3 linked regions of the Schizosaccharomyces pombe genome follow. The gene in region 1 interacts genetically with each later gene. Each region holds a gene or a part of one and is shown in the gene's direction. Other genes may lie near its edges.

Region 1 (10,442 bases):
TAAAAAGCTCAAAAAATCTCTTGAAGGAAGGTAGCTCATTTTGCTGAGGAGTGGGCTGAAACGTCCATTCAGGAATACTTGGGCTAACCGGAACAATATGAACGAAATCAGATTCAAAAAACTTCCAGGGTTGAGATATATAAGGAAAAGTAAAGTCGTTTTCCCGAGATAGAATTAGTTGTTTATAGAGTAAGTCCAATTCCTCCTCTGAAAGATTGTCATGTATTGAAAGGGGATTACTTAGAGTTATCGAAGATTTCCTATGACGAACGTAAATCTCACATTGATCCAGTATCTCATTAGCAAAATCCTTTTTACCGAGATCGTTGTTAGCTGCGATGAAATATGGAAGGTTTATCAAAATTATGCGCAGGAAATTATCTCCCCAGACACTGGGTTTGGTTTCTTTTGAGATAGCGTCAGCCAGTAATGAAAATAGTGGCTTAAGGGTACCTGGTTGAAGTGCAAATGACATGCAAATGAGCATTCGTAGATCGACTTTAGCCTCGTAATAAAGAAAGGAGTTTAAATTCGTAAAATACTGTAAACAAAAATACGCAGCTGCTTTTTCTAAGATTAAAGGAACCCTTAATGAGGCTCTTATAATTAATGTAGCCAAATGAGGTATTTTGACTGGAATGATAAATGCACTAAGGATTAAATTAGTTTTCTGAAGGGACAGTATAAATTATCACTTACGTTGTCTGAATGCAATCTAAGATAGTTGAAATGGTTTCAGGATCATTAGCTTCACGACTAAGAGACATAGCAACATAATTAATGTCATCAGCAGCTACTGAATTTCCTCGAGGATCCGCCAAAAAGGTAATATCCTTTTTTATACGCGCTGCAAGTAGCTCTTGAGAGTTTCCTCTATGGGGACGAAATCCATAATTCTCTCCCTCTCTCGTCCTCTTTCTGGGTCGAGTTGATCCCCGATAAGAAGACATTTTGTGAGGAATGTTAGTGTCTTACTGTTGTTGGCGTATAGCAGAATTGTAAAAACACGAGCAAGTGTTCTCAAGTAACAATCAACTTAGAGGTAACGAATGGTATACTAAGTCGAGATGGAAATTGTAAAACAAAAAAAAAGAAAATCGATTTTCCAATGCGATAAAAACGAAAACCTTAATAAATATGATTAGAAAATTTTACAACACTGTAATATTCTATTTCGGTAAAGGAATAAGCATCCATTCTGCTTCTATATTTTCACCTTTCAGTGAATGAGTCCTTCGTTTTTTTTGACAAACAATTAAAACAAAAATTAGAGGATATAATTTGAAATCCTCATTCACCGAGATTTAAGTGAAAAGGATCTGTGTTTATGCTTGTTTTTTCCTTGCCAAGGAGCATTTCTGCCATACATAAACCCGTGGCAGGAGCTTGAGTTATCCCCCAGTTGGCGTGACCCGCTGCAACAAATACACCAGACTTGGTTGTTGATATTATCGGGATACCTGTTATTCTACTGGTAGGAAGGAACTTAAAAGATGCGTCTAAGTAGTTACTCTTCGTATTCTCCGAGAGCACCAAATCGGTCATTTCTTTCAATTCGATAATTTCAAAAGGATTAAAAAAACATCGATTACTATCTTTTGGCAGCAAATGGAATTTTGGAGTTCCCATAAAAATAAGCTGCTCCCGGTTTTTACTGAAAATTTCGGTTGTTTTGCAAATGTTTAGATTACCCATGGTATTTAAACAACACACAACAATGCTGTCGCCAACGGGAAAATTTCCTACCGATAGGTGAATTATGGGAATGCATAGACCTGCAATACCAGTAAATGGTAATAGATAACCAGTCCAAGGCCCAGCACTCACCAGCGTTTTATGCACCTGTGCTTTTATTATTGTATCTTCAGCTTCTTGTTTTGGAACGTATGTAATATGGTGTTTACTAACCTCTTTCACACTTCCAAATATAAACTTTACTCCTCGTTTTTCTATTTCTTTTGCCATAAATTGACAAAACAATTTTGGATTGATCATTGCAAAATCGTTGCCGGAACCGATACTAGAACCTAAATGGTTAGTCTCTATATGACTTATACAATAAAGTTATTATTTTTTTTTGGTAGCACTTATGAGCTTACATTTTTGCATGCGCTCTCGTTGAAGCCATTGCAAAGTATCGGGAACTTTGGCAACATTGGTATTGTCCCATTTCATCTTACAAAACCAAGAATTGGCAGTCCTATATTCCCAGTTTTTCTTCCCATCAAATTTTTTATCCAATCCTTCATAAAGCTTCAAAGCGAGAGTTGAAAGTGGCTGTATGATTTCATTCTGGCACAGTTTTGTCAAGATTGCAGAATCAATGCCGGAGCTACCTCCTGCTATTTCTTTTGATTCAAATATAAATATGTCCAATTCTCCTTTTTTGTATTCTTGTTCTTCTGTTAAGTAAAACGCCGTACAAATTCCAATAATGCCACCTAAAAATCATCGTCAGCATGCTCACTCATCATTTATGAAACTGTTGTTCTCCAAAATTACCTCCTACTATTCCTATCTTTGTCTTATTTCCTTCTCTACTTGTAGCGCTCATATTTGAAGTTGGAAAGTTGACTTGAAACACAATCATCTTGCTGTAACGCTTCTAAACATTACGTTATCCTCACCAGTATTTCCTTCAATCTCTCTTATTTTTTTACCATTTTGAGAATAAAATAAATAGCAATAATAATAATAACAAAACGGTTCAATATTCAACAGTTTTTGCCATTCAGAATGCCTTTCATAAATTGCTATGGCGAGATATACGATTCTTTCATGAATACCAAACGATTGTAAAAAAGGAAAAAAATTACAAAATACTCCTCCTAATCTATAAAGTCAAGTTCGCATAAACAAACGGATTTTTAAATTTTTGAAATGCCAGATTCACATTCTTCAGATAGTTTACATATTATTTACACATGCCTTAATTAAAATTACTGCAACCAGTTCATTGAGTTGTAATTATATTTTGATTCCAAATAATCTACTGAAAACAGCTGTACAGCTGTATATGCAGAATGGTATTTCCAAAGCATAACAAATATTAGACATTTCACAACAATGATAATTGTTAAGCGATATCATCTTGAAAAGTTTATTTTACCGACTTATGATCGACAATCAACAGAAATATGCAAAATAAATTAGTGATGGTATGGATGTAATCCGTTAAATGGTATTCAAGCACTTTGTTCTCAGTACGTGCTCCAAAACATTACATTGCTGGAGATGCTATGGAATTTGATTTTTTTTCGTTTGTTGCTCCTTCCAGAGTTCAATCATTAGTCCTTCCTTTTGGTCGTGTTAGAAGAAAAAGTTTCTCGTCCTACCTACAATTACTCCGCAGAGTAAGTCATATTCAGTTGAGTGATGTCCCTGTAGCTACTGCTACTAGAAAATGTATGTTTCTTATTTTTATGATTATTGACTAATCTTAATAGCGAGTTCTTTCAATCCTTTGGCTTTTCCGTTGGGCAGATTGGTGTACAATTTCCTAACCAGCCTTGATGATCAACAAGCTCTACTAGAAGAATTTGAATATTTTCGGCGCGTTTTCGTTCTTATTGGTATTGTAGATGGGTCAGAGGAACAAGAAGTTGAGCAATTATGTTCTACCTTGGATGTTTGGCGGAGAAGGATACCTCATGCGTTAGTTGCAAAATGCATCGTATTTAATTGTCCAGAAGACAAAGAGAATATATTTAATGCTCCCAATATCATAATAGGACCAAGGTCTGATTTTTCAATAAACTCCGTAATGCGGTCTATTTTATGCGATATCACTGCTGAGTTGTTAGAAGGATTTAGTTCGCTCGAGTTTTCTATACACGCGCGTTCCGTGATCCTTTCTCCAATTACTGACATGCCACATTTGGCTCCCTTGCAAAGGAAAAATTCTAATGCGTCGATTCACTCCTTAGGCTCATCTTCTCGTCCTACTTTGACGAGAACTCCCTCGATCACATCAAGATCTGTGAATAGTGTAACGGAACGATCCAAAAGTCTCTCAAAGGGGCGTATTGAGAACCAATTTGGCCAGCTATACTTGCTGGCCGGCAGAGTTCCCAATGCGTTGAAGCATTTCTCAACAGCCATAGCGCTTTCTAAAGCAACTGGAGACTTTCTTTGGCAAGGACTTTCGTTGGAGTTATTTACTGTTTGTCTGGTTATAATGGCTCATTTGCATGTGGACGTCCAGATTCCTCCTAATATATTATCCATGTTCCCTTCTTATAATGATAGATTGAATGCCTTTGGACCACTCAAATTTGATGCACTATTAAACTTTATCACAGAAATGCGCAACGTAGTTGATCAATTATATCAAAAATCCACTCTTCAACCTAATGATGCTGTCCCCGGCCTCTGTTTTTCCGAGAGTATCCTACGGTATGCTCATTTACTCACAGTTGTTTATAGTTGTAAAGGATTTAACGACAACGCTTTGGATCATATTATTGCTCAAGCCCCCATAAGACCTGTTAAAAAAGCTACAACGTATGTACCAAATAAAGCAACTATTTGTCAATGGATTATGAGAGCCCAAGGACAGCATCTTAACTCTCTTTCAATTCGTGAACGTTGTCGCATATACGGGGCTATGGCAAATATGCTTGGAAGTATAGGATTTTCTCGGTTAAGGGTCAAGATGTTGCGTGAGTTGGTTGCGAGTTTAACACCTGTACTATTAGAAACGCGTAGGCAAAATGCTTCAAAAAATGGAATACATCCGGAGGTTATTGCTTCGCATACCGCACAATCCTTTAAAAGCACTCATTACTGTAACATCTTACCTTTGATATCTGAAATATGTCAAGAATATGGCCTATTGAAAACTGATGGTAGTCTTCTAAATCCAGAATTAACAAAATGGGGTTGGTCAAATTTACAATTTGATGTTCTTAATGAGCTTATATCCCTTTGTGATTCTCTATCTGACTATCGCAGTATTCTTCTTTTAATTTCTTTGTTTTTTCTCACTTCTGTTCAAACTGCTTCTTCTTCCCAACAAATCTCTATGTTTAAAGCTTTTAGAAAAACGTACCTATTTGCTAGCAATGCTGGTATACACATTAACGCTCCATACTGGGACCCATTTATGATAACGGATTTAAAGTTCATTGGTTCGTCCGAGAATGCCGAATTAATTCATCAACGGTTAAGAAACGGGTTACCAAAATCAATTGAAAAAGGACCATTCATCTATAATCCATTTAATAGAAGACAGGACCAAAACCAATCGAAATCAGTCCTCGTTGTCGATGAACAAGTTGCGTTTTCGATCTATTTTCGTAACCCTCTTAGTGTATCAGTTGAAGTGCAAGATGTTCATTTAGAAACGAAAGGGGTTTCTGCAAAATGTTCACATTCTACTTTTACGATGCGGCCACTATCTATAGAGCGTACTACACTTACTGTAACTCCTACGGAAACCGGAGAATTACATATTGTTGGTTGTCGTGTAAAAGTCTTTGGCTGTGAGCCAATTCTGCAGTATGTTTACGAAGCAAAGGATAAACACAAGTCATTGCACGTTTACCTTGAGAAAAGTAAAGACGTCAATGCTGAACTTCGTTCCTTGGATACCATCGACCATTTATGGACTTACTTTCCGTTTAAAAAGGACTTGAAAACTAAGTCATTTGATTGTATAGTTATAGCTAGCCAGCCGAAATTATCGCTTGCTTTTCAAAACCTAACATCTGGAAAGTTTAACTTTGCTGAATACGAAACGGGTGAATTGGTGTATGTAATTGAAAATACGTCTTTTGTTGAGGCATCTCACATATCTGTTCTTTTTGAGGACAGTTCATCCAAAGCTTTTGAGCAAGCTATAGCGGATAAAAGTATCACAGCAGATCGATTATATGAACTCCAATTTGAAGAATTTAACCTCCCAACATTTACTGTCGAGAGTAGCCAACCGTTTTCACTTTCACCAGGTGAGCGCAGGGAAATTCATATTAAAATCCGGGCAAAGCCAAATTCTCAAGAAGGATTGATATTATTTGAAAGTAGTGTGCATAAGCCTGAAGACACAGAATTTTATGTTAGACGTCTAAGAATCCCGGTTTCTTTAAACATAAGTAAAAGAGTGGATTTGAAACAATGGTCTGCGTTTATGGATACTGAAGGAGATCCCAGCTACTGCTTGGTGCTATTAAACTTTTATAATCATTTCTCTGAGCCTTTATTTGTCACGGTTAAAACAGCAAGTACCGATGAGTCCCGATCAGTTTTAATCAAACCAAAAGCTGATAATGTCATATTATTCCGTTTAAAAAGATTTATTATGTCCTCTGAGGAAATCAATCTTGATATTCCAAACTTATCTACAAAGCAATTCGTACTATCTAGCGGATTTAAAAAAAGTATCGAGGATAGCTATACTATGAAAAAGCGTTTTTGGATTAAGGAGTATTTTCTAAAAGAAGTTCAAGCTTCTTGGAAAACCGACGATAATCTTCACCATGGAGAGATTTACTTGAGAAATCATATTTTGTCTGACGAAATGGCAAATAATCTATCTATTCTACCAATTAGGATTCAGGCTTGGGTTAGCTATGATTCTGAAAAAGTCACCACGGTTTGTCCGCGAGAACCATTCAAACTTGTTCTTGAATTTTTCGGTATGCAATTATTGATACTTCATATTCCTTCCTATGTCTTTTAATTTTACTAATTTCTATAACAGGTCATGCCGATACCAATATGCGTTATAAAATATCGTGGACTCAATTAAATACTCAAGCTAACACTTCTTCCTTCAACGGACTAATTTTAGATGGCCCAGAAGAGGACATTGTATGCTTTAACAATTCCAAATGTCATGTCGTGATCGAGCGCAACATGTTTGCATATACAACAGGGATGTACAATATATTTGTTCGTATTTTTAACGAAGAACTACAATTGCTATCGCAGCCTGTTGACTTGGATGAGCCCATACTACTAATTGTTGATGCGAAGTAACTCATGTCATTAATGTTCGTCTATATTACTCTTTTTCTTCCATGTCTTGAAATCTAATAGTTTTGATCCGAAAATAAATAAATTTTACATATTTTACTCTTAACCATGCTATTCAGTAAGCGCTTGGAAGAGTGTCCACGTTCAGAGGTATCAGGTCGTATTTATAGTTTCATGCGTACAAACGTGAAAATTATATAAAATTGCAACTTAATAATTTAGCATCAAAAGAATCCAAGGTATGCTTGCTTTGTAATTATTATAAGTGGAATACGTTCTGCCCCCACTTAGTACCTTTTATTTCTAATATTTAGCGCAGGGCTACGAGATTATTAGAAACATTAGCTGAACGTGACCAGAACCAATATGTTTAGAAATCAATATGGTAAGTAAAATAGAAGAAATTGGTCTGCTAACTTTATAATTAGATGGAGATGCGACTACGTGGAGCCCTCAAGGAAGACTCCATCAAGTAGAATACGCATTAGAAGCTATTAAACAAGGATCAGCTACGGTTGGACTCGTTTCCAAAACACATGCTGTTCTAGTCGCTTTAAAGGTATCCACAATTTTATTTTACTAGGGCCTCCATTAACTTTCAAAATGTAGAGAAACGCAGAGGAACTTAGCAGCTACCAAAAGAAGTTGATTCGCATTGATGACCATATTGGTATTGCTATAGCTGGTTTGGCTCCTGACGCCAGAGTTTTGAGGTAAGGCATTTAATGGATGTAAGACAGTCATGCAAAAACCGTAATCTCTATGTGTGTTTGCTTTGGTTTTTGAAATTGCTATCGGTGGGAATACTTTTTTTGAGAGTATTACTAGGCATAATGATTTTGTATATTACAATTTACGTTTGTTATAATGGAATATTAACGCAACAGTAACTATATGAAGCAAGAAGCTTTATCGTCTAAGACTTTGTTTACTCGACCTATTCCTGTCCGTCGTCTAATGAGCAAGGTTGCTGAAAAGGCTCAAATTAATACTCAGGAGTACGGAAGGAGACCTTATGGTGTTGGGTTTTTAGTAATTGGGTACGATGAAAGTGGTCCACATTTACTCGAGTTTCAACCTTCTGGCCTTGTTCTAGAATATTTGGGTACTAGTATGGGTTCACGATCCCAGTCTGCTCGTACTTACATAGAGCGAAATTTGGATACATTTCCGGATTCTAGCAGAGAAGAACTTATCCTCTCAGCACTTAGAGCTTTACGTGATACTCTTTCAAAAGACCAAGAACTGACCGAAGAAAACGTTTCTATATCCGTCATTGGAAAAGATGAAAAATATACTCTTTACGATCAAAATGACACAAAAGAATGGCTTGATAAATTAGGCGACAAAGGTCCCGCGGCTGCTCGTGCTTCTAGGGCTGCCGCCGAAGAACCTCAAGCGCCTACTGCGGAGGCTATACTTGACTCTGCTGATGCCATGGAAACTGATTAATTGCCATGATTCAAATGATACCTTTCTTAAGTACATATGTCATAGAATTCCGAAAAGATGATTATCCTTTATAGGGATTTTTCTTAGCTATCCTTTTTATTCCTTCGACAATTACGATTTCTGGCATGTCATTTCCAAGCTATTAAGTTGCTGGATAGAAATCTAGGAAATTTAATGAAAAATAAATGTTAACTTTGTGCATAGGAATGTATTATTTTATGTAATTTGCTAAGTAATTAGATGAATGGTGCTATACTTGATACGTTACTTATTATATTTATATGAATTAAAAATAATAATTATTAGATGTTCATAACAATGACCAATGTCAATAGTGTTGTCAATAACAATGCCGGAAACAAATTTTAATATTCTGCTGCACTGAAGTATTTATTGCATAAAGGGACTTTATCATATTTGAACAATTGCTGTATTAAGTATTGAACTAAAACCTCAATTGTCTTTCTATGAAATTTTCATGAAAACTTGCTTCATCATTTGTTCGCCTTTTTTTAATTCAGCCAAAATGTTACGAAGATTAACGAAAAAAAGTCAGAGAATGTGCTGCTTTTCCGCTGCTTGTTACAATGCCATTGCTTTGTCAGATCAAAACCTTCGTATCTTGCTTACATAAACTTACCCACAGCACAACACTTTGAATTCCAATTGCCGAGCCAATATCCGGAATTTTATTTAAATATCGGAATTATTTTGTTTTAAATAGTTCATAAACAGTAATTTGTTTGTATTGTCATTATCGCGGGGTTGACTCCTTCATTGACCATTTTGTGTTGAATTCAGCGTTTGCACCGTTACTATGAGCCAAGTGAAAGTCGCGGTGAGAAGTGAGGAAGCAGCTAATTCTTATACGCAAACGTTTGGCATGTCCTGGAGGCAATGGCGTCAAGCATGCTCTGAAGAATATGCGAAACAATGTGAGCGTGAAGTCCTGCACACTGTCGATTTTATTCGGGAAAATGAAAAGGACCCAGAAAGGTTAGTTGAAGTTGTAGATTCCAAAATCTACGATAATGATGGATTGGTACATGAGGTTTGTGTTAGTGATAAAGCAACAGGAAAAGCGAACAAGCGAAGCATTGTTTACATGCATGGGTATGGAGCTGGTCTTGGTTTTTACTTTCGGAACATGGATGGTTTGACTAAGGGTGTGACAAAGGATTTTAATTCTTATTTTGTTGATTGGCTAGGCATGGGAAACTCGTCAAGACCGCCTTTCGATATCAAGGGGCAAACCGCTTCAGAGAAGGTCGAAGAAACAGAGAGGTTTTTCACTGAGTCATTAGAAACATGGAGAATCGGTCATGGTATCGAGAAAATGATCCTTGTGGGCCATAGTATGGGAGGTTATTTGTCTGCTGTCTACGCCATGCAATATCCGGAACGTGTTGAGAAACTCTTACTAGTTAGTCCAGTTGCCATTCCTGAAAACCCTTTTGCAAGCAACGATGATGCGGAAGTTTACAATTCCGTTGCTTCCTCTGCTGTGCATGCTGTTATGGATGAACCTCCTTTAAGTAATGTTACTAATGAGGTTCTGCAAACCCAAGAGGAAACTACAGGTTTAGAGCCTTCCCGGCCAAGCAAGCCAAAGAATCCTCTTCCAAGATTTATCACCTTCTTATGGGAGCAAAATGTTACACCATTTTCTCTACTTCGTTTAAGCGGGCCTTTAGGTCCTAAACTAATGAGTTTTTGGTCTAGCAGAAGGTTTTCAACGCTTCCCCCGGAAACGTTTAGGGCATTACATAATTACTGCTACTCAATATTTCGTCTCAAGGGTTCCAGCGAGTATGCACTTGGCAATTTGCTCGCTCCCGGAGCTTTCGCTAGACGATGTATTATGAATCGCTTGCGCATGTTGAAGTGTCGAACTATATTCATGTATGGAGATAAAGATTGGATGGATGATGTTGCTGGTTTAGAAGCGACAAACAGATTGAAGGAGATGAATATTGAGGCGGAGCACCACATAATTTCAAATGCTGGTCACCATT
Region 2 (9,296 bases), on another chromosome or scaffold:
CGAGTGAAAAAAAATAATATATATCATTTTCCGTTTTTATAAAGGTTCCTTTTCTGTTTTAAGTAAAAATTATGGAGAATTGACAGCGTATTGTTGTGCGTTGCTAATAGAAAGTGGAGAAAGCATAAGTTGGCACGCGTCGATATAAACATGCGTGGATTAACGAGAAACGCTATACGTTCAGCAAAGTACGTTGTACAACGGTAAATTGTATAAGCTATTGTCAAAACGCGTTTTATAAACTACTATTAGAGGACACGCCTGACTGCACTTTTTATAGTAGGGTAGGGCTGGACTGCTTTTTTGAATTCCAGGACATGAAACTTTTCCGAATGATCTGTCACGAGCAACAACCAACTCTTAATTGACAGGACATCATGAGCGTTGCTAAAGCCAAAGGAGCACAGAAGACCGTTCAAAAGGGTATCCATAACAAGGTTGCTAAGAAGGTTCGCACTTCTACCACCTTCCGTCGGTATGTTTTATGAATTTTCACGGAAAAAACGTCTCAGGTTCATTACAGTGTCCAAACATGGTGTCGTCAAAAGTTCAGTGTATGGCATGATTTGCTAAGTAAATTACTTTTTACATTTGTAACAGAATATTACTTAAATTATTGCTGGATTTCCCGATACACTTTTTTATGGAGCTTAAGAACTTCGGTCTTTCCAAATATTTTTTAGATAAGAATATTTGCTAACTTATATCTTTATAGCCCCAAAACTCTTCAGCTTTCTCGCAAGCCCAAGTATGCTCGCAAGAGTGTTGCTCATGCTCCTCGTCTCGATGAGTACAAAATCATCGTCAATCCCATTAATAGCGAGTCCGCTATGAAGAAGATTGAAGATGACAACACTCTTGTCTTCCATGTCCATCTTAAAGCCAACAAGTTCACCATTAAGGAGGCTGTTCGTAAGCTTTACAGCGTTGAACCCGTCAAGATCAACACTTTGATTCGTCCTAACGGTACCAAGAAGGCTTTCGTTAAGTTGTCTGCTGATGCTGATGCTCTTGATGTTGCTAACCGCATTGGTTTCCTTTAAACAATGTACCTATAGTCAAGCATTTAGGGACGAAATAAAATCTTGGTTTTTATATTACTATACATTCATGCTGTACTTTAGTTAAAATCATACTTTATTTTGTAGCTTTTTGGTTGCAGTTGATTACAGTGAGAGTAGCGTGAATGAAGGCTATTGTTGGTGGCACCTTTCATTTGATTGAAATTATAACGTTAAATGGTTGTTGGGTGGATGTAACAAAAAGAAAGTCACTTCATTATGCTAATAATAAAAATAAAATGCAAAGGAGTTTTCATCTACTGATTTCATTGAGACTTATGTAATTTCCTCGTTTGTGTTTTCATTGAGTAAATCATAACATAATGATCAAGTAGAAGATGCATAAACGAGTTTACTTAGTTATCTAACGTATTCTCAAACAAAAAATCTTTTCTCTTAAGAAAGATAATGGACCCTTTGAAGTGTTGTTACTAAAGCATGTACTTTCAAGTGAACCATATTCACATTTTGCAACGTCAGCAAAAGCTGTAATTAGAACAGTTACAAGTTTAACTCTTCATTCTTCAACCATTTTAACATATGCAAGTATTGAATAAAGCGAAAAAACTAGTGTTTATGTTTCCAAACAAAGTAACATGCTACTTTATGAACCATCGGCTTGTAGGCAGCTTCTTTAAAAGAATCCCTGGTACTCAATCTGAGCATATTCCTAGAAGAAGGAAAAAAGACACTGCTCTTAGACCGTTTATCATTTGGACGAGAATTAATTAATGAAGAGGGTTCCTAAGAGGTTCTCAGTTGTTTTTTGATTGATTTTCTGGTTATCAAGCTGTTGTCGTGCAGTTTTTTCGCGCTTGCGGGTTCAAAAGTCGCATTTATTATTAATTGAAAACATTTTTTGAGCAAAGAGATGTTTCTTAGACCATGGAGCCGAAATTTCCTTTGTAGTTGTAGAGGATTTTCTGTTTGCACTCCTTACGCGAGTATTAAAAGCGCATCTGAACTGGCGCTGAAGAACATAAGTGAACTACAAGCGCTTCAGAAAATACAAAATCATACGGAAAAATTAAAATTTTTTTCGTCCAAATTGCACAATAAAGGAGAACCTTTTACTTTACAACTTGGTGATTTAATTACGGAACATACAAGTGTCCCAGAGCTCAATGAAATTTTGGATAAATTCAGTCAATCTAATGAGTTATTCACTATGCGATTTCTTGAAAAAGCTAGTATCATTGCTCATAAAAACCGTTCTGCTGAATTGGCCCGAAGGTTGCGTACATATGCAGCTAATGCCATGATTGATTTAAGTCGTGTTGCTTTTGTTAACATCTTTTGGACCCTTTTGAAAACTAGAGACAAGGAAGGTATTGTTGAAACTATAGAAGGTCAGCCAATAGCATTTAAAGTCGCCCGTCGAATCTTTCGCAGGTTGCTGGTCTATACATCGGAAGCGGGTGAAAACATTGAAATTTGCTTCTTCCTCACAAACTCTTTATTTAAACGACTTCTTAATAACCGTGAAGCCCTTTCCAAAGATGAAAAGAGTGAACTCCAAAACCTCTATTATGATTTATTGTTATGTTTTTCTTACTCATATTATGTTCCAGGAGTTAAGCTTCTATTGCCTATGTTATATAACGGAAGCTTTAAAGAAATTAATCGCACAGCCATAGACAGGTCTTTGTTGGCTTTATTGTCAACCGGTGAATTGGAAGCTGCTCTTGAACTTCTAGTATACCTCAAGAATAATAATATCCCGATTAATGACGCCTATCTTCGGATGATGGTGATCAACTTTTGTTTGGCTAATAAGCCGACATTAGCGGTACGCTTTTGCCAAGCTTGGTTTAAACAAAGTAAAATGCTTTCTTCCACAGAAAATTTACTGCTTATTGCTGAGTCTCTTTCACGTGCTTCGAACGATTTTGCCGCCATTAGCAAGCAGATGCAACCATTTTCAATTGAATCATCTTCATTTTATCTACCTAGCCACAGACTATTAATGCTTGTCGCTTTGATGATGAAAAATTCTTCAGGGATATTACATTCGTATGCGGTACTCAAAAAAGCTAATGCTATAACAAACAAAGAACTAAGAATAATGATGCAACATGCAATGGACCTCCGATCAACTGAATTCGCTGAAGCAGTTTTGAAGGAGTCCGAGTTTACTTTGCAATCCAATCGCTCACAATTATTAATGGACTTTGTTGCTATTTTATTTTTAAATAAGGAATACACCAAAGCTTTCGCCACGCTTGAAAAAACCTTCGCATCTAAGATTAAACCAAGTCATAATATTATATCTTTCTCGTTATCTCTAGTCAAACGCTTTGGTACTAAAAATGACCTTTTTTTTCTGCGTCGCTCTTTTAAGAACATGGGCATAGAAACTCTGGATGAGATAGAAAAAAATCTGCCCCCTAAAGTCGTTTATAGATGCTTTAACTATTAAGTGACTTACTCTTCTCATCACATCAACGCTGAATCCATGCATGCTATAATTATCACCCTTTGTTTATGATACCTTAATATTAAAAACTTGAAAATTTAACTTTAATTCAGCTTTCACACTACCGTCTGCTTTATTTCTATTACCGTTTAATTTTCGAGGTCTCTCTTTTCCAATGCGCTGTGCGCAATTACTGATCTAAGTTAGACACAGACGAATTTATTTCTTTTTGAGCTGTTGTTACGTTTAATACTCTCTTTTAATATCCCCTCTTATGTTGGCCATCATATTGTAGCTGTTCAGCTATTTAATGAGAAGTTGAACTGAAACAAAAAATTATGATAATTTTTCTAAATCAAATTCAATATTTTTTATTTATACATGCAAATCTATTCTCGTATTGCTTGTTTCACATCGCTAATAGCCCACTACGATGTGTAAGAAAAGGAAACCAATAATTACACTGAACCTTTTTTAAAAAATATGATCAATTTTCCATTCAAACATATGTAGTTTTCAAAAACGTTCATTACATGAGTCAGAAAAATATCTGGTTGACCCTAACATTCTTTCGGATTGTACACCTTACAACTGCACATGCATTTCACCACACATAATATACGATTTTCATAAATCGCATCCTTCGTAAAAATTATATGCAAAATGTATCTTACATTAAACTTAAAGAATTAAAAAATTGAGCTAACTGGTATAGGAGTGGTGGTATTTTTGATGATAATAAAGGTATTTACCATGTTTATAAATTCAAAAGTTAAAGCTCGATCACTAATTAAATCGTTACAGCTGGGTTTGAAACGTTTCAAAAGAATCTCAATTCGGTCGCAAAGAATGTATCTGATGCCTCTAACATCCTATTGTCCATGGACAAACGATTGAGCGGCCTCGAGGCGTCTGCTGGAATCTTAAGAGATGATGTGACGAACTACAATCGCGTTTCTAGCAGTATGTATTGTTGTAATTTTATTTGTTAATTACTAATTTGTTTAAGACATCTACGACACGTTAAAGGAAATGGAGAGCCTTCAAGTTATCCATTCACACCTTCCTGTGCTGCAAAAGGGGTTGCAAGAATGCCAAAATTTAAATAAATCAGTATCTCAAAATTTAAAATCTGTCATGGACATTCTAAAATCTTTAGCGGAAGATTATACGAGTTTAGAAGGAAGTCCACTTCAATTTGCCTCAAAATCGCAGCAAAAAGTTGAGATGATGCTATCAGAAGGATGCCAGATTTTAGGTGCATTGTGTTATAATATACTTGAAACTTATGCTGCATCCTCCCTTAACAAAGCATCTACACTTTTGGATTTATCCATCCCGTGGAGTTTTCCCAATGAATCTCTTCAGCAATTTATAGGTTTAATTCAGCAATTCGATGCTGATGTTCTGTTCCCAGTTTCTTGCTCTTCAGATATCTCTAATATATACATCAAGATAAAGGGCGAATGTGTTGTCAAGTTACTTCATGCCGTCTCTATGAGGACAGATGAAATTAAGCTCAACGAGGGATCAGTTAACTTCGTGACTGGAAAAGAAGATGTTTCGATCAATTTAGTTGCTTTATCTAGACTATTACCAGCCGTTGCCTCGGAATTGCTACTCTTGTTTGATCAAGTTACTGCTAAGGCACTTTATCCCAAAATCGTTAAGCCTGCCATAAACACTGTCACCAATGCCACCAGACAGCTTGAGGGAGTTTATGAAAAAAGAGGTGCTGCAGAAAATTTTGTTTTGTTGTCTTTAATTGATTGTATCGTTGTTACACGCCAAAACATGAATAATCTTATGCCTTTTGAAGATGCTTCTTTCCTTGGTTTTGTGAATGGTGTTGGTCGTGAAATGGAAAAGATATTGATTTCTTCTATATCGAGGCTGTATAATGGCACTTGCCATAACAACAAAACAGTCCCTCTCACAACTGATAGAGTCAGTGAAATGACTCATGGTATTATGAGTTTCTTGAATGAACTTGCTGAGCATGAAAATGCCTCTTATTTGCTTGAAAGTATTGGTAATTGGGGCTGGAGACACGAAATTAATGCTGATCTCAGTCCTGCGCGCTCAGTTCAAGACATTACGAGGAACTATGTTATGGATTGTATGGATTCCTACCTAACTTCTGTTCAAACAGCTGCCCAGGCAGTGGATACGATTGGATGGAAAATGGGCGTAATGCTTTTAAACATCAGCGTCTATTTTGAAGCAAAATGTCTTGAGTCAAAAATTGCATCATTTTTACAAGACGTTGATTTAGAAAAGCTAGGAGATCGATCACAAAAGTACTCAACCATGTATATGGAAGTTTGGCGACAGTGTTCTCAAAATATGCTCGATTCTACCTATACAAAATCTCAAAACAAATCCACTATGTCTGCTAAAGAACGAGAGATTACAAAGGAAAAATTCCGAAACTTCAACGAACAAGTTACATCTGTTGTTCAAGTGCATCGTGAATCTGTTAGGTTTGAAACTGGTGTTGCCACTTTTCTATTGCAAGAAGTTAAGAAAACTGTACTACCTTTATATCAAAGGTTCTATGATAAGTATGAAGATCAATTAAAAACTGTTAGTTCCACTATAGCTAACCTCTGTTTAGATACATCAACAGTGATTTTACAAAAAATAAAGACAAGGTATGTGTATTGAGGATTTGTCGATATTCATTTGCTAGTTTATCGATGTGTATATACATTTAAGTTGTTATCGTTTTTCATTTTGCTTACTCATTACGTAGTATATCAAATTTACAAAGGCTGATTTAGATTCTTTTATTACAAGCGCGTTTGCTCCTTCCCTATGATTCAATATGATGAATTTGGGTCCTTTGAAATTCCATAATATAGTACTAAAGTGGGTGTACTGGCATTCTCACTTTTCTTTGAAGCATTTGACTGATGTAAATAAAGACGGACCATATCTCAAATTCAAAAATTTGACTTCTATTTTACATTATTAAATCGTTCCATATAATTTTTTTAATTATTAACTCCCCTTTTTTGATGACTTTGTTGTTTACCCTGCTCAGATTCTGCTTACGAGTAAGCTACCCACTAAATATTGTAATTATTAAAGAAAACTTGAAGAACTAATTTTTAATTGCATTTCCCAAGCAATCATGTTTCGATTATATACGTTCTTTACTTTATATAATGTGCCCAGCATAATTTCATAGACAATAACATTATTACCTCTTTTTTACAATAGTGAGGTAGCTCATATACATTAAATTGTGGTTCCATATCTCCGTTTTCTTATTTTTACGAAACTCGTGTTTGTTTTTGTTTAATATTTATATTATTGTTTACATTGAAAATTACCATATTATTTGATGTTTGTATTTGTTTCCCAGCTTGCCAACGTTGCGTTACCCCGACAACCCCATAGTGTTTACGCCCTCTACGATACTCCTTTCAGTCGACTCCACTACCACGAGCTGTCCTTAACCAGCATCTTGACGAGTTTTTACCCTTAAACGACATTCCTGCTCATAGAAATATAAGCAAGAACAGGACTTTTCCCCTATTAGTCACTGTCTAGAGCTAGAGGCGAGAAAAGAAGCGGAACCTGGTCGGTTAAGCAAAGCTTGTTCTTTCGTCTTGTCTTCTTGCTTGTAACAAGAGCTTAATCAGATTGTAAGTAATGTTAAAGGCTGGGAATACAGTTTTGGTTGTGTAAGAACATTTTCATACAATACGACCTTCTGAAGATGTGAAAATTTCTTCCCAATCAATAGTCACCCTTTTTCCTCGACTTCACCTAGTTCAGCGAAAACATGAAATCCTCTTTAAGTCTAACTTCATTTCTTTTTATTTTTTTATTTTTTTAAAATTTATGAAGGGATTAAGGGGTGGGTGCTGTAAAACATGGGGGTTTAAATTTAAATAACTACCCATTTTATTTTCCTATCAAAGTTTCTTTTTTTCATAGGATAATCCTTTATTGTGCCATTTTGTTTTTTCATTAGATTTACTAACGTCATTTAAAGTCAACATTTACCCTTCTTTTCTTGTTCTGGTGTTAATATAGGAAAATCGTACATCGATTCTACATATAGCTTCATTTCAAAGTTCAGTTTCGTGTTCTACGTTTCCTATATCCATTGTTGGACTTCATCGCAATCCCCTTACTTTATTGAAAAAAAGAAGTCTCAAAAGCTCTTGCCAAATTCTAGATTCGGTCAAAGGCTATTATTTTCTCCTTTATACGTACGAGAAACATACATTTTTGCTTGGATTTTATCCTTAAAATTTTTGTATAAACTTTCAAGTATAACTCATTCTATTTTATCTTCTCCGTCCCGTACTACCCCTTCACGTTTTTAGACACTTTAAAAAGGTTGTTCGTTCAAAACCTCTTTTTTATCATTTCTGTTACCTGAACCAATTAATATTTTAATTTCCCTTCCTCTCTTTCAATCCCCGACAGAATTCGTTTCTTCTTTTCCTCATGACTACCCGTCGTTTAACTCGCCAGCACCTATTGGCAAATACCTTGGGCAACAATGACGAAAATCATCCTTCAAACCATATTGCCCGTGCAAAAAGCTCTTTGCACTCTTCAGAAAATTCTTTAGTAAATGGCAAGAAAGCCACTGTGTCTTCCACCAACGTTCCTAAGAAGCGTCATGCGTTGGATGATGTTTCCAATTTTCACAACAAAGAAGGTGTTCCATTAGCTAGTAAAAACACAAATGTCAGACACACTACTGCTTCTGTCAGTACCCGTCGTGCTCTCGAGGAAAAGTCTATAATCCCTGCAACAGATGATGAACCCGCTTCCAAGAAGCGTCGCCAACCTTCTGTTTTTAATTCATCAGTCCCCTCGTTACCTCAACACTTGTCAACGAAATCACACTCTGTTTCAACCCATGGGGTTGATGCTTTCCATAAGGATCAAGCAACTATTCCAAAAAAATTAAAGAAAGATGTTGATGAACGCGTTGTTTCGAAAGATATTCCCAAACTTCACCGTGATAGTGTTGAGAGTCCCGAATCTCAAGATTGGGATGACTTGGATGCAGAAGATTGGGCTGACCCTCTTATGGTTTCTGAATATGTCGTTGATATTTTTGAATATTTGAATGAGTTGGAAATTGAAACTATGCCCTCTCCTACTTATATGGATCGTCAAAAAGAGCTTGCATGGAAGATGCGTGGAATACTTACCGATTGGTTAATTGAAGTGCATTCTCGTTTCCGACTGCTTCCTGAAACATTGTTTTTGGCCGTAAATATTATTGATAGATTTTTATCATTGCGGGTATGCTCTCTTAACAAACTACAATTGGTTGGCATTGCTGCCTTGTTCATCGCTAGCAAGTATGAGGAGGTGATGTGCCCTTCAGTCCAAAACTTTGTATATATGGCGGATGGTGGGTATGATGAAGAGGAAATTCTTCAAGCCGAGCGCTACATTTTGCGTGTCCTAGAGTTTAATCTTGCTTACCCGAATCCTATGAATTTCCTACGTCGTATCTCAAAAGCCGACTTTTACGATATTCAAACAAGAACTGTTGCAAAGTATCTTGTTGAAATTGGTCTTTTAGATCATAAACTTTTACCTTATCCCCCTTCCCAACAGTGTGCTGCCGCTATGTACCTTGCCAGGGAAATGCTTGGACGTGGACCGTGGAATCGTAATCTTGTGCATTACTCAGGTTATGAGGAGTACCAATTAATTTCCGTTGTTAAGAAGATGATTAATTATTTACAAAAGCCTGTTCAACATGAAGCTTTTTTCAAGAAGTATGCCTCCAAAAAGTTTATGAAAGCTAGTCTTTTTGTTCGTGACTGGATCAA
Region 3 (12,193 bases), on another chromosome or scaffold:
ATGTGGATCTTTAGAGTAGAATAATTGTAAGCTACGCAGTTTGGTATCTGATTTAAGGATACGTAGAACTGCGGTGAGTTTTCCTTGTGATCTATTATATTACAATACGCAGGTTGTATAAGTAGCAACTGAGTATAGGTATTGTATTAACTGGGTTATAATGTTACCTATCACTAATATAGCTCATAACTGAACCTCGTTCCTCAGTTCAGTTGTAACGCTATTTATAATATTTCTAAATAGTTGTTATCAACGGGTATCTACGTATATAGACGGATAGTTACCCGTGATTATCAATAAACGGATCTTAGCTAGTATTCCAACATATGACATATAGTGATACGCAACGTAGTGTATCATAGCGTAGTGTAGTATTGCTGACAATAATGAATTTAAGTAGTTTCACTATACGCCTCATTATACTGTAAGCTAGAGCAAAGTAAGAAACTTGCCAAGAACCAAAGCGGGTCTCTGCGAAAGGTAAACTAATAAAAATCGGACAAATTGGAGGAATTGAAGGGGAATTAAGGAAAAATATTAATTTAATAGAGATAAACTTATGAATTTATGCAGAACGCACCAAAGTGTTACCTGCCGAATTCACGTAAAGGCAGAGACGTGAATTTTCATGATCGAGGTCCTGAAACGTTAAAATGCTTGTACGATGAATCAGAAGATAACAATAATTTTACTATGCATTCTGAATCCATAGGTCCTAAGTCATTAGACAGTTTATCGCCTAGAAGGCTAAGTAACTATTCATCTGCTGTAGACCCTCGAACTACGAGCTTGGAAGATGTCCCTCGCTTAATTTTAACAAGAAGTAATTCACAAGAACAAACCCCTTTGAGAACACACACCCCTGTTGAATATATGAGTGATTCAATTCACAAGAGTCTAGCTGACTTGCAATTAGGTGGTTCCTCTTATTCAGTTGCTGAATCACCAGTACCGGTGCTGCAGTCTTCAGCCGTTTCTGAAGCTGATGATATGGCAAGTGCTCATTCTGCTCATCCGTCTCGAAAGGCAAGCAGGTCATTACGTCTCTTTGAGTCTTCTACCTCCAATAACTTAGAAACCGGTAACAGTACTAATACTGCTTTGCACAACGTGTCGAGTCCTCTTGAATCTGTTTCTGAAAGGCTCTCCAAATCTGGATCACCAAGTGTTGGTGCTCAGCATGATTTAGATGAAGTTATTTCCGAAAAAGATACATCACTAAGTCGAAGATCATCTCGTGGTCGGAGCTCAGCTCCTAAACGAAGAAAAGATAGTGGTAGTTCTAAAACCACAGCCACCTACATACCACATAATCCTTCTAAAAAGTCATCTCAACACCTCCCTTTACTACCTGATGCTTCGTTTGAGCTTGAAAGGTCGGTATCCCGTTCTTATCAAAGTCCTGCATCCACCCCGCGATCATCTGTATCATCTGTCTCATCATCTCCTCCTGAAGACCATCCTTTTTTCCATTGGAATGTTGATTATCCGGTTACTGTACGATTGGAACCCTTCAAACATCAAGTCGGTGGACATACGGCTTTCTTCCGGTTTTCTAAAAGAGCCGTTTGCAAACCACTTACAAGAAATGAAAATACGTTTTATGAAACTATTGAAGCTTGCCATCCAGAATTGCTTCCCTTTATCCCAAAGTATATTGGTGTTTTAAATGTGACTCATACTATTACTAAAACAGAAGAAAACGATTCTACTACGGAATATGTCAATACAGAATCATCGTCTAAAACACCTGCCCCCCATAAACACACATTTAACAGCTGTTATCAGAAAAAAGACTATGGATACATTCCAGAGGTTAGTGTTGAGCAAAACCGTCATATTTTTCCTGAATGGATGCTTCCCGACAAAAGATCTCATTCTTATGGAAGCCCCAAATCTTTACACCATAAATCATCTTCAGCCGGAGAACGGCCAGTATCTCCTACTTTCGTGGCTGATATACCGCCCAAAACTCCATGGGGAACCACATTAATTAACAGAAAACTGCGAGAGGAAGTTCTACGAGAAGTTTTTGCTCCCAAGCATGCAAGACGTCGACTTGGAACTCGTTTCCATTCAAGGAGTTCCCATCGACCTTCTGTTTTTCGTGATAATTCGGTTGCTTTTGGACAATTGGATAATGGAAACACATCTAGCCGAGCTCGTGATAAGGATGCAGATCCTAACAAAAGCTTATCCTGTAGCGTTGAAGATAAACATTACGACTTGCATTCCGCCGTTGCCGAAGAAAATGAAGAAGTCGACGAGGAACTCCTCAACGTACCGTCCAATAATCAAGGTAAGTCATATAGACGCTTTTCATCAGATGCTGTTTGGGAAGAACCAGAATCTAACGAGTTTCCTCGGGTTTCTGGTACAATGGAGGATTATGATTCAAGGGAGTCAACAGGACATACAATAAAGGAACTACGAAGTACACCGAACTCGCATGGAACTGTACCCGATGACTCTATTTTTGCTATGGACAATGAAGAAAACAGCGAGTTACCTCCACCTCTAGAACCAGCAGAAATTGGAGATCCATTCAGGAGCGTAAATGATCCTAGGCGAGTACTCTCTCTTCCACACATGGCATCCGCCGATGAAGATCACCGGATTCCAGCAAGCGATAATCAAAACAATAATAATAATGATGCTAATGCCCTCGCGGAAAATTCGGAATCTCAACATTCTACCCAGATTGAGAGATATATTGTGATTGAAGACTTAACGAGTGGAATGAAAAGACCTTGTGTGTTGGATGTCAAGATGGGTACTAGACAATACGGAATAATGGCTACGGAGAAAAAGAAAGCCTCACAAACTAAAAAGTGTGCGATGACTACATCTCGAGTTCTTGGTGTCCGAATATGTGGAATGCAAGTTTGGCATCCTTGGCTTCAATCATATACATTTGAAGATAAGTATGTAGGTCGTGATATTAAAGCAGGAGAGGAATTTCAACACGCATTGATGCGTTACTTAGGGAAAACGGATGACGATGAAGACAATAGCCATCTCTTGGTGCATCATATTCCCACGATAATTAGAAAGCTAGAGCAGTTAGAGCAAATTGTTAGGTTTCTTAAAGGATCCCGCTTGTATGCTAGTTCATTACTATTTTTATATGATGGGGAGCCGCCGCCAAGCGACAAATCCAGCAAAGAAAAAGTCAAGCCTCGTGAAATTGACATTCGGATTGTTGATTTTGCCAATTGTGTTTTTGCTGAGGATAAAGAGCTTTTAGCAAAAGCTACATGTCCTCCTCAACACAAAGACACGTATGATCGAGGATACGTACGAGGTTTACGGACTTTGAGGCTATACTTTCTAAAAATATGGAAGGAAGCTAAGGGAATGCAAATTGCGGAACGGGGCTATGAAGACAGTCTCTCTAATGCTTACGATGAACTTGGGGGATTGATGAGTTATTCAAATGATGATGACTCTTGCGGAGAGACGTCTACCTAATAATTCAAATGGTAGCTTTAAAATGTTGCTTGATGCATTTAGTTTCAAAGCACTCTAGAACTTACATTCATCGCTTTGTTGAATATTTCTTGGCAAAAGTGTTTATCGATAGTTTGCGCACTGAGTTGTTCATTGAGCTCGGAAGCTTGAGACCCGCTATTTATTTATATTACTTCAAATTGGCAATCCGTTATATAAAGAAGTCGTTAGTCTTTCATCTTTCTGTTTCGTTAAATTTCTTAATTCAGTGATTGTAACGAAGCTATGACAGTTGGAATCTTCTTGGATTATAAATTTTTTTTCCGCCCCCATTTGTTGTGTTGTTTGTGTTACAAGGATTACTGGTTTTAATACTTGTATCCTTCTAATGCCCTTAATCTCTCTTTTACTTTCTTATCTTTTAAGATTGTCATGTGTTGATTTTTGTAATGGAGAAAATGCATATTGAGATTGCGCATTTTTAACCGTTCTTTCTTTTTTAGTTTTTTTGTTACATCTGCACCCCTTTATTCTGACTTTTATTTTGGTCTTTGGCATTGCTCATATTATTATTCTCTTAATCATCTCATCATACCTTATTTTTTTATTATGGCATAGTTATTTATCAAAGTACTTTTCTGCGAAGTATCTTAATTTGCCTTTTCTTGGATGCTTGATTTTTCTGTTTATATTAGTATTATTTCGTGGTAGTAGTAGCTTAGTTACACCCTTATCATTCTTTTCTTATACAATAGTCCATCACCCCCATTAACTCTGAAACACATACAGAGTTCTTTTGCATGCTCCTTGTCAGTATAAAGTATTAAATCAAGGTGCGCTGTAATAAATAGCAGTGCGTTGGTCCACGTAATTCATATAGTGATTTCTTAGCTCTCCTTTCAAAGATAATACAGTCAATAGACATATCAAGCTAAAACTACTGACTATTTGACTTCCATGGATACCAGAGGCTATTCGGAAACGAAAAAAGGAAGGTATCCAGTGGGAAAGAAAAGCTTGGAATCTCCTAACGGCTACTCAAATTATGGAACTAGCATGGACAATGAATTGAGTTCAGAGTATGCATCGCGTGGAATGCACATAGGCGATTTAGAAAGTAAGGTGAAGCAGCAGGGAGTTTTGATTTAACCTTTATGCTAGATTTAGTAAATGAAATTGAGGATGAATGGAAAGACCTGGGAAGAGAAGACGTATGTTGCGTGAATAAGTGAAGATTGGAGGATGTTTGAATTTACTAACGAATGGTTAAGTATCAACCGATATCTACAGCGTTGGAACTATTAGATGACAGTAGCTTTGGAAGAGATTATAAGTCTTTTCTGAACGTTTACGATCGAATTAGTGCTGCATTACAAACGATTGCCCATACTCATAAAGATGACTTTACTCGAGGTATATCGGCTTATGGAGAAATAATGGAGGGAATTCAGAAGTGCAATTCGAGAATCATAGCATTAAAGCAATCCCTTGAGGCTTCGCAAGAATGCATTGGTAATACTAATAGCAAAGAGCTTCAACAAACATTGGCTCGTAGTTCTCAATACAAAAAAGTCATAAGTGTGCTCAAGGAACTTAATGAAGCCAACCAGCTGTTTGACAACTTTCATACGCTTGTTGATAGCAAGCAATATTATCATGCCAGCGATTTAATACGTCGTGTATGGGATGAATTAAGTCGTTCTGATTTTGACGGAATATTAGTAGTGGAGCAGTTTAAAAGTCGGATGACAGGACTCTTGTCACATTTAGAGGACATTCTATCTGAAGAGTTGGTTTCAATTACTTTCCTTAAAGATGCTGTCGCTTATCCCATAGTATCGTACTGCTCTCCAAATCCGCTGAGGGAAACTTCCAACCCATATTTTTTGAGAGATTTTTTAAAAAACAATGCAAATACATCAACTCTGGGCCAAAGTGAGCAATTGCGTTACCTAGAAGAAGCGCTTTCTTTAAAGTTGTCGGATTGCTTAAAAATGGATTATGGTAGAGACAGTTTACGTGATATACGTATTGTTTTGGAGTCATTGAATTTATTGGGAAAACTCCCCAATGCTATTTCATCTTTAAAGTCTCGTACTTCTGCGGAGATGTTTACTACGGTAGATTCTACTTCACGTGCAATCGTTAACAAATATTCACTCGGTAATAACGTTTCTACCGTTAATCCCTTTTCAAAATCACTTTATGATATAGGTTTGCACGCTGAGACTGATAGAGAGCATACTATGATTTCCGAGTTCTTGACGAACTTATTTACAAAATTAAGGTGTGTTTTAATGCATTATCGCGGTATCTCCGAATTCATGACCAAATTAGAGACTAAAACACCAAAGCATGCTTCATCTTCTCACAAATCTAGCATTATGTCTGTTAACTCGGACCCCACAAGCCCAAAGGTATCAAAATTTGATACTTCTGATAGCACGTTTCCATTTGATACGTTGCTGCAAGCATTCGAGAGCGAAATTAGGTTAATGTTAAAAGATTATCTTATTTCCAAAGAAGAGTATATTGAAAATAGTGGAAATTTCGTTGTTGGAACTGAGATGTCCATATACAACCTCCCTGGCGAAAATGAAGAAGATAAACTTTTCGACGTAACAAACGAAATTGCTGTGGAGAACAAAAGTAATGCGTTTTATGCCAGAATAAATGAGTTGGTTAACGAAAAGGCTCCAGAGCTTATTCTTAATAAATCAAATGCTTCAGTTTCCACTATTGAACTATTTTCTGGAAGTTCGAAAGAAATTGTACGTTTGGCTGGCCACGTTGTATTTGTTGGGCCTTCGGTTTTTCATGCTTCGTCTGTCCTACCTCAAACCGTATTCTTTTTGGAAGACAGTGTGTCTATTTTGAAAAAGTACGTCAATTAAGTTGAGTTTGGATTATTTTGCTAACAAAAATTTAGCCCAAATATACCTCCTCAGTTTGCTGTTAATTTTATGAAAGAATTTTTAAGGGGAAGTTACATTCCACAATTATACAAGTTTATGTCGAGTCACTTTGACACCATAATGAAAGACGTGGGTGCGTTCCAATTGCACAGAGATTGGAAGATATACTCTAAAATCCCAATTTTTAAGGTATAGTCTCATTAAGAAGCTACGATTAACGTTAATTTTAGTGCCATGTGGCTATTGTTCAATATTTTCACGATCTTCAAGATTATTTGCCTATTGTTGCATTAAATTTGGTAGAATTTTATGAATTATTACATACTTTGCTTGTTCGTTTTCGCAACCATTGTTCTGATTATCTCTCTGGTATGTTTCATTTCCATTTTTTCACTGTTTCCCCAGCTTACCCTTTATAGATTTGTGCAGAACGGCTGTTCTCAAAGAATACAAACATGTCAACGAGGATACTGAAGATGTCGATGATACTGTTCGAGTAAAGCTACTTCACGACGATGTAACGTACCCTCAATTTATTAAATTCCTCAAGCAAAAAAATCCATCACTTGAAGGGTTAAATGAGCTTTGTCGAATGGAGAATAAGCGTTTATTACAATATGAAGATCGTGCGATTACGTCCGAAGTTAAACTTCCGGTATCGGTTTTATCCAAAGATTCCGACCTAGTGAACTCGGTTTCTTATCTTCATAACTCCATGGAATGGTTTCTTCAGCGCTGTTTTTCAAGATTTATGAACGGTTCGCGAAGAATGAACGTTTTGCAACAAAACCAAGCTAATTTCGGTGGTGACTTTTTACCAATTGATAATTTGTTGGGTAATAATTCGGATTTAATGAAGGGGTATGTTACTGTATGTATTGAACTTTATACTGATTTTTATAAAAGTGCATATAAAGAAGTCTTTGATTCTTTACAGAGGCTCCAATTCGATGCTTTACTGCTAATCCGAATGGAAGTTCGGTTACAGTACATTCATAGTATTAATCAAAGTGTAAACCTTCCTGACTATGTTGTCGAGTACCGCGGAAGACCAGATGCTTCGATAATGGCTCTCAACTCTACTATTGTGACGACGAATTTGAAACTCGAAACCTGTTTGAATGAATGGGAACGAAGGTAAATAACAAATGAATTCCTTATATTGATTTGCTAACTTTTTATAGGTTTGTATTCCAAGGTCTGAGTGAACTGGTTGATTCATCGCTATACTCTATCTTTTACAAAATAGAATCAATGAATAGAGGCAGCTGTCTTCAGATGCTGAAAAATATGTCAGCAATGATTCAGATTCTTAAGACGGTTAAGGAAATTCATGGCGACGTTGAATTTCCTAAATCTTCTAGAGTCTTTGGAATATACCAAAATGGTGCCAAGAAAATTATCGAGCACTTCATTGCTGCCCCCAAAAAGGAACTTTTGCCTGACGTTAAACAGATGGTCCGAATTTATTACCAGCGATTAATGAAAGATGCAAAAAGAAACGGAAGGGACGATCTTTATCGGCAGTATCAGAAAAAGATTGGCTCGGTTTTAACTCAGTTCGACAACACTGTGGGTGGTGCGAGAAAAAATCCTTAACCGTATAATATAGAATTTTAATTATAATGACGAGTAATGATTTTATAATAATAAATTTATTAACTAAAAACATAGATGCATTGGATAGTTTAAAAACTACGTGACCTAGTTTCAAAGATTATATTAAGGAAAATGATTTGTTATATATACAGCGTTTTCCTGAAAGACATAATTTACACAAATAAAACATATTCTTCAAAGATGTATCGGAATAACATCAGAAGCACCAAATCCACGACCGCAAATCGGGCATCTGCGTTGCCGTGTTTCAATCCGTTTTTGTATGCATTGGTAACAAAAGCCATGACCACAGAGAGAAATAATTCGATCTTTCCAGCGCTCGAAGTTACAAACTGAACACTTACACATGGCCCTAAAAGTTTTTAACTCTTCAGCTGACGTTGATACCCCAGTATCCTTTAACTTTCGCTTCTCTTTTTCATGCTCTTCATCTTGCTTGGAAAGTATATCTATAGAAGATGATAAATCTGAGCATTGAAATTCAAGGTCTGTTAATGTAGCATTATTTTTATCCATAAATTGCTGTAAATAAGACACCTTTTCTTCCAGGTTTTGAATAGTTGATTTTTGAGATGACTTTTTGACTTGAAACGTTGTTGATTGTTTTATAGAGTTATTTCGAACCGATGATAGACGGGCTAGCTGATCTTCAAACTCTATTATTCTATGGACAGCAGTGTCTTGGCTATTTAACATTTTTGAGATAATTTCGTTGGTCTTCTGGTACTTCTGGCGCAGTAACTTTACTTCAGCATGAAGACTATCTGTAGACTTCATGGTCAGAAAATATTTTTGCTCCGCCTTTTCCTTTTCGACACTAAATTTGGTTATCAATTCTTGATAATGGGAGTGGCTACTTTTCACAGTTTGCTGTTTTACCAACCTAAATGCTTTTTCAGTAGAAGCCAACTCTTTAGAAAGGTAAGTTGACAGATCTTTTTGTAACTCCAAATCGTTAAGGTCTACGAGCCGGATTTTGTTTGCAGCTTCACGGGTAGCCACCGCTTTTTTCTTTTCCAATACCATTGTCTCTAAATTCGCAAGTTCATCTAACTTGTCTTTGTAGACCTTCTCTTTTTGCTTTTTAGCTTCCAACTTCTTTTCAAGGGATAAGCTTAATTCAGTCTTTGCGTTATTAATTCTTTTTTCATCGTTTTGCATAACAGATATTTGATGATCAAGATCGTTTATTAACGGCTGATAGGAAGATTCAAAAACACCGTTAAAATTCTTTGACTGTTGCGACAATACATTTATTTCGTGAGAACATTCGGACAATAAGTGCTCTAATACGCGTAACTGCTCAGATGTCATAGAAACAGCTTCTTTAAGTGCTAAAAAGGAAGAGTATTTTTTCAAGTTTGTAGTTTCGACGTTGTTTAATGCGTTTTCTCGTTCCATAATTAATTTATCCATTTCATTAACGTTCGAATCCAAAATTTTAAGGCTTTGTGAGCGAGACTCCATTAAACCATTTTGTTGGTCTTGAAGCCTGGATAATTGTTGCAGTTGAGTACGTTGTTCAACCGTGCTAACTTTCTTTTCTTCATCTTTCCCCTTAGAGGAGGTGGTTGCTTCCTCTTTCACTTTAGTAGACTGGGGTCTCACTGATTCATTAATGCATTGCAAAGTAAAACTAGACGAGCGATCTGGTAGTTTTATAATTGAATGAAGCTGAGACCGAGTGGTATCCAATTCATCTAAAATCTTGTCAATATCCAAATTAATGGTGTTTAATTTCTCAGTAAGGGCAGAGTCATCAATTGATAAAACTGAAAAAGGATCTCTGGAGACCGAATTTGTGCTTGAGTCAACAGTAGACAAGAGTTTTTGAATGATGCTCAAGGCTTTAGTTTTATTATTTTTCACAGCGTCATTGAAGTATGAAAGCTCCGGGAATTTCTCCAAAATCGAAAAAACACCTTCACTCTCGAAGTCCTTCAGCTCATTGCCTTGAAACACAACGCTAAACTGCTGAAGTATTTCAGGCCACCAAGAGACCAAAGTAGCTAAAACTTTTAATTTCTCTTCTGCTAAATTTTGAAGTCCCTCTATTTTACTTTCTAACTCATCAAATTGAATGCTCCTCACTCTTACATCCTTTAATAAGTCTTCTTTAGAGACTTCCTTTAACAGAGTTAGCGACATGTCTTAACATTCGAATGCCTAAAGGCTCAACACGTTAACATACCTGAATATCATCATCTTGTATTTCTACATCTTCAAGTTCTCTTTTCTGGCCTAAGATTGTGGGGGCATCTGGTTTACCATTCTGATACATTCTCGAAAGTCGTATACATCAACCTATCAATATAAATTTCCTTTTTTTCAGAACAATTTGTTTTTTAACGAAAAAAGAAAACAGCCAAAACCTAAAAGACAGACTGTATTTTTCTTATACTAAACGTAATAACGCGTAATGAATAAGCAAGTTATAGATACGCGTCTTTACAGATCTATTTCAAATTCTCCTTCTTAGTTGAAACTTGCCGTATTGAAAATATGCAATTCGAAGCGAATTAAGTTAATTGCCATTCAATACAATAAAATGGGTAAAAGTGAAGTGGTAGAGGGCAGACACGAGTTTACGATCTATTTACTCAGTCACTAAACTACTTTAGTGAAAAATTGTCGTATTTGAAGAAATTCGAGTTAACTATCCATCTGGTATCCACTTTAACGAAATGTAAAATTGCGGTGAGTTTTCCTTGTGATCTATTATATTGCAACACACAGGTTGTATAAGTAGCAACTGAGTATAGGTATTGTATTAACTGGGTTATAATGTTACCTATCACTAGTATAGCTCATAACTGAACTGAGGAACGAGGTTCAGTTGTAACGCTATTTATAAATGGCTGTTATCAACGGGTATTTATGTACATAGACGAATAGTTACCTGTGATTATCAACAAGCGGATCTTAACTAGTATTTCAACATATGACATATAGTGATACACTACGTTGCGTATCACTATATGTCACATGTTCTAATTATATATCGTACCATGTATGATACGATATGGAGATTAATCTTAATGATAATCTATTCAGATCTATATTATCTGAATACTATAAATAGAGCTACCACTGAACTGAGGAACGAGGTTCAGTTATGAGCTATACTAGTGATAGGTAACATTATAACCCAGTTAATACAATACCTATACTCAGTTGCTACTTATACAACCTGTGTATTGTAATATAATAGATCACAAGGAAAACTCACCGCAGTTCTACGTATCCTTAAATCAGATACCAAACTGCGTAGCTTACACGTAATTACGATAACAAACCATCGTTCTAAACCACAATATTCTATTATGCTGCTCATTATTTTGTAAACATTAAATTTTGTTTGAATTGAACCATTAAACAGAAGGGAAAAATGATTATTAAGCTTGATTAAATTAAGAATCAAGATGAAGGAGAAATGAATGTAACAACGACAATGAAATTGTGAATTTAACAAGGTGGAACAACGAGTTTTCCGATTTCATTAGTTGATTTAAAGTTGTCGTAAACAAGTTAAACCATTATTGTTTGTAGCGTAGAGTACCATTAAAAAAGACAAATAATTAGACTCGCATACATTATAAATAAAGACTTCGGTCCTCAATGCACATTATCCAACATCGTAGAATGCATTGGTTGAAAATCTTTGGTAATTGAAAGAATAAGTTAAGCATATATTCCATAAACTTATAGTGAAAGAGGATGATTAAAGAAAGTTGGTGCTAATTTTTTAAAAAACGCCGCAGCTTCTCTGCATTGGTGATTTTGGTAAAGAGGTTTTCCAACTGTAGCGACAACTACATTAATAAAGCAATTAGACTTCGCTTTCGGCCTCCGTTTCTTCCAAGGGAATGTCATTATTATCGTTGGCACCTCCAATCGCATTTGCTATACCTCCTAGTCGGGTAAGTAAAAAATCATTCATACAGTTGGTTGAATACACATACCTAGGAAAGAAGCTATACCATTCCTGATAAATTTGGGCATCCTTTTGAGAGCACCTGGACATTCTGATACGGTTAGAGTAAATTACAGGAATATTAAACAAACCCATTTCGTAAAAGAAAAGAAAATTTCCTATAACAAAGAGTGAAGAGGCTTCAATTTCGTAGCCTGTCCCGTCGATATGTTTATCAAATAAATGCATCAAACCTTTCTGTACAATAACGACACAACTTTGTACACCCAGTACT

The links.
Region 2: mutations in trs120 (region 1) and exo70 impair growth when combined (synthetic growth defect), as found in Schizosaccharomyces pombe (one study listed by BioGRID).
Region 3: mutations in trs120 (region 1) and sec8 are lethal when combined (synthetic lethality), as found in Schizosaccharomyces pombe (one study listed by BioGRID).

The regions. Positions count from the first base shown.
Region 1 is NC_003424.3:3,219,041-3,229,482, reverse strand, and holds trs120 (TRAPP complex subunit Trs120), read left to right. Parts: upstream 1-3,205; 5' UTR 3,206-3,239; coding exon 3,240-3,405; exon of another isoform or gene 3,406-3,446; coding exon 3,447-6,635; exon of another isoform or gene 6,636-6,700; coding exon 6,701-6,978; 3' UTR 6,979-7,115; downstream 7,116-10,442. Other genes in the region: cbc1 (nuclear cap-binding complex large subunit), read right to left, coding at 1-650, 700-950; tda3 (FAD-dependent amino acid oxidase), read right to left, coding at 1,291-2,027, 2,100-2,441, 2,503-2,554; proteasome core particle subunit alpha 6 Pre5, read left to right, coding at 7,342-7,360, 7,404-7,534, 7,585-7,688, 7,863-8,427; cardiolipin-specific phospholipase Cld1, read left to right, coding at 9,245-10,442. UniProt on the Schizosaccharomyces pombe protein: Component of the TRAPP II complex. TRAPP II seems to play a role in intra-Golgi transport.
Region 2 is NC_003423.3:413,179-422,474, forward strand, and holds exo70 (exocyst complex subunit Exo70), read left to right. Parts: upstream 1-4,064; 5' UTR 4,065-4,140; coding exon 4,141-4,142; intron 4,143-4,192; coding exon 4,193-4,221; intron 4,222-4,281; coding exon 4,282-4,440; intron 4,441-4,486; coding exon 4,487-6,041; intron 6,042-6,094; coding exon 6,095-6,131; intron 6,132-6,232; coding exon 6,233-6,298; 3' UTR 6,299-6,689; downstream 6,690-9,296. Other genes in the region: rpl2501 (60S ribosomal protein uL23), read left to right, coding at 378-475, 716-1,043; protein Ppr10, read left to right, coding at 1,933-3,480; G2/M B-type cyclin Cdc13, read left to right, coding at 7,945-9,296. UniProt on the Schizosaccharomyces pombe protein: Required for exocytosis.
Region 3 is NC_003421.2:488,141-500,333, reverse strand, and holds sec8 (exocyst complex subunit Exo4), read left to right. Parts: upstream 1-4,400; 5' UTR 4,401-4,407; coding exon 4,408-4,567; exon of another isoform or gene 4,568-4,611; coding exon 4,612-4,661; exon of another isoform or gene 4,662-4,721; coding exon 4,722-6,331; exon of another isoform or gene 6,332-6,348; intron 6,349-6,379; coding exon 6,380-6,554; intron 6,555-6,595; coding exon 6,596-6,734; intron 6,735-6,784; coding exon 6,785-7,226; exon of another isoform or gene 7,227-7,271; coding exon 7,272-7,502; exon of another isoform or gene 7,503-7,549; coding exon 7,550-7,964; 3' UTR 7,965-8,159; coding exon of another isoform or gene 8,160-10,112; 3' UTR 10,113-10,176; coding exon of another isoform or gene 10,177-10,266; 3' UTR 10,267-10,318; downstream 10,319-12,193. Other genes in the region: kcs1 (inositol polyphosphate kinase), read left to right, coding at 568-3,471; histone H2B-K119 ubiquitin ligase complex (HULC) subunit, ubiquitin-protein ligase E3 Brl2, read right to left, coding at 8,160-10,112, 10,177-10,266; wtf antidote-like meiotic drive suppressor Wtf9, read right to left, coding at 11,815-11,897, 11,948-12,010, 12,051-12,193.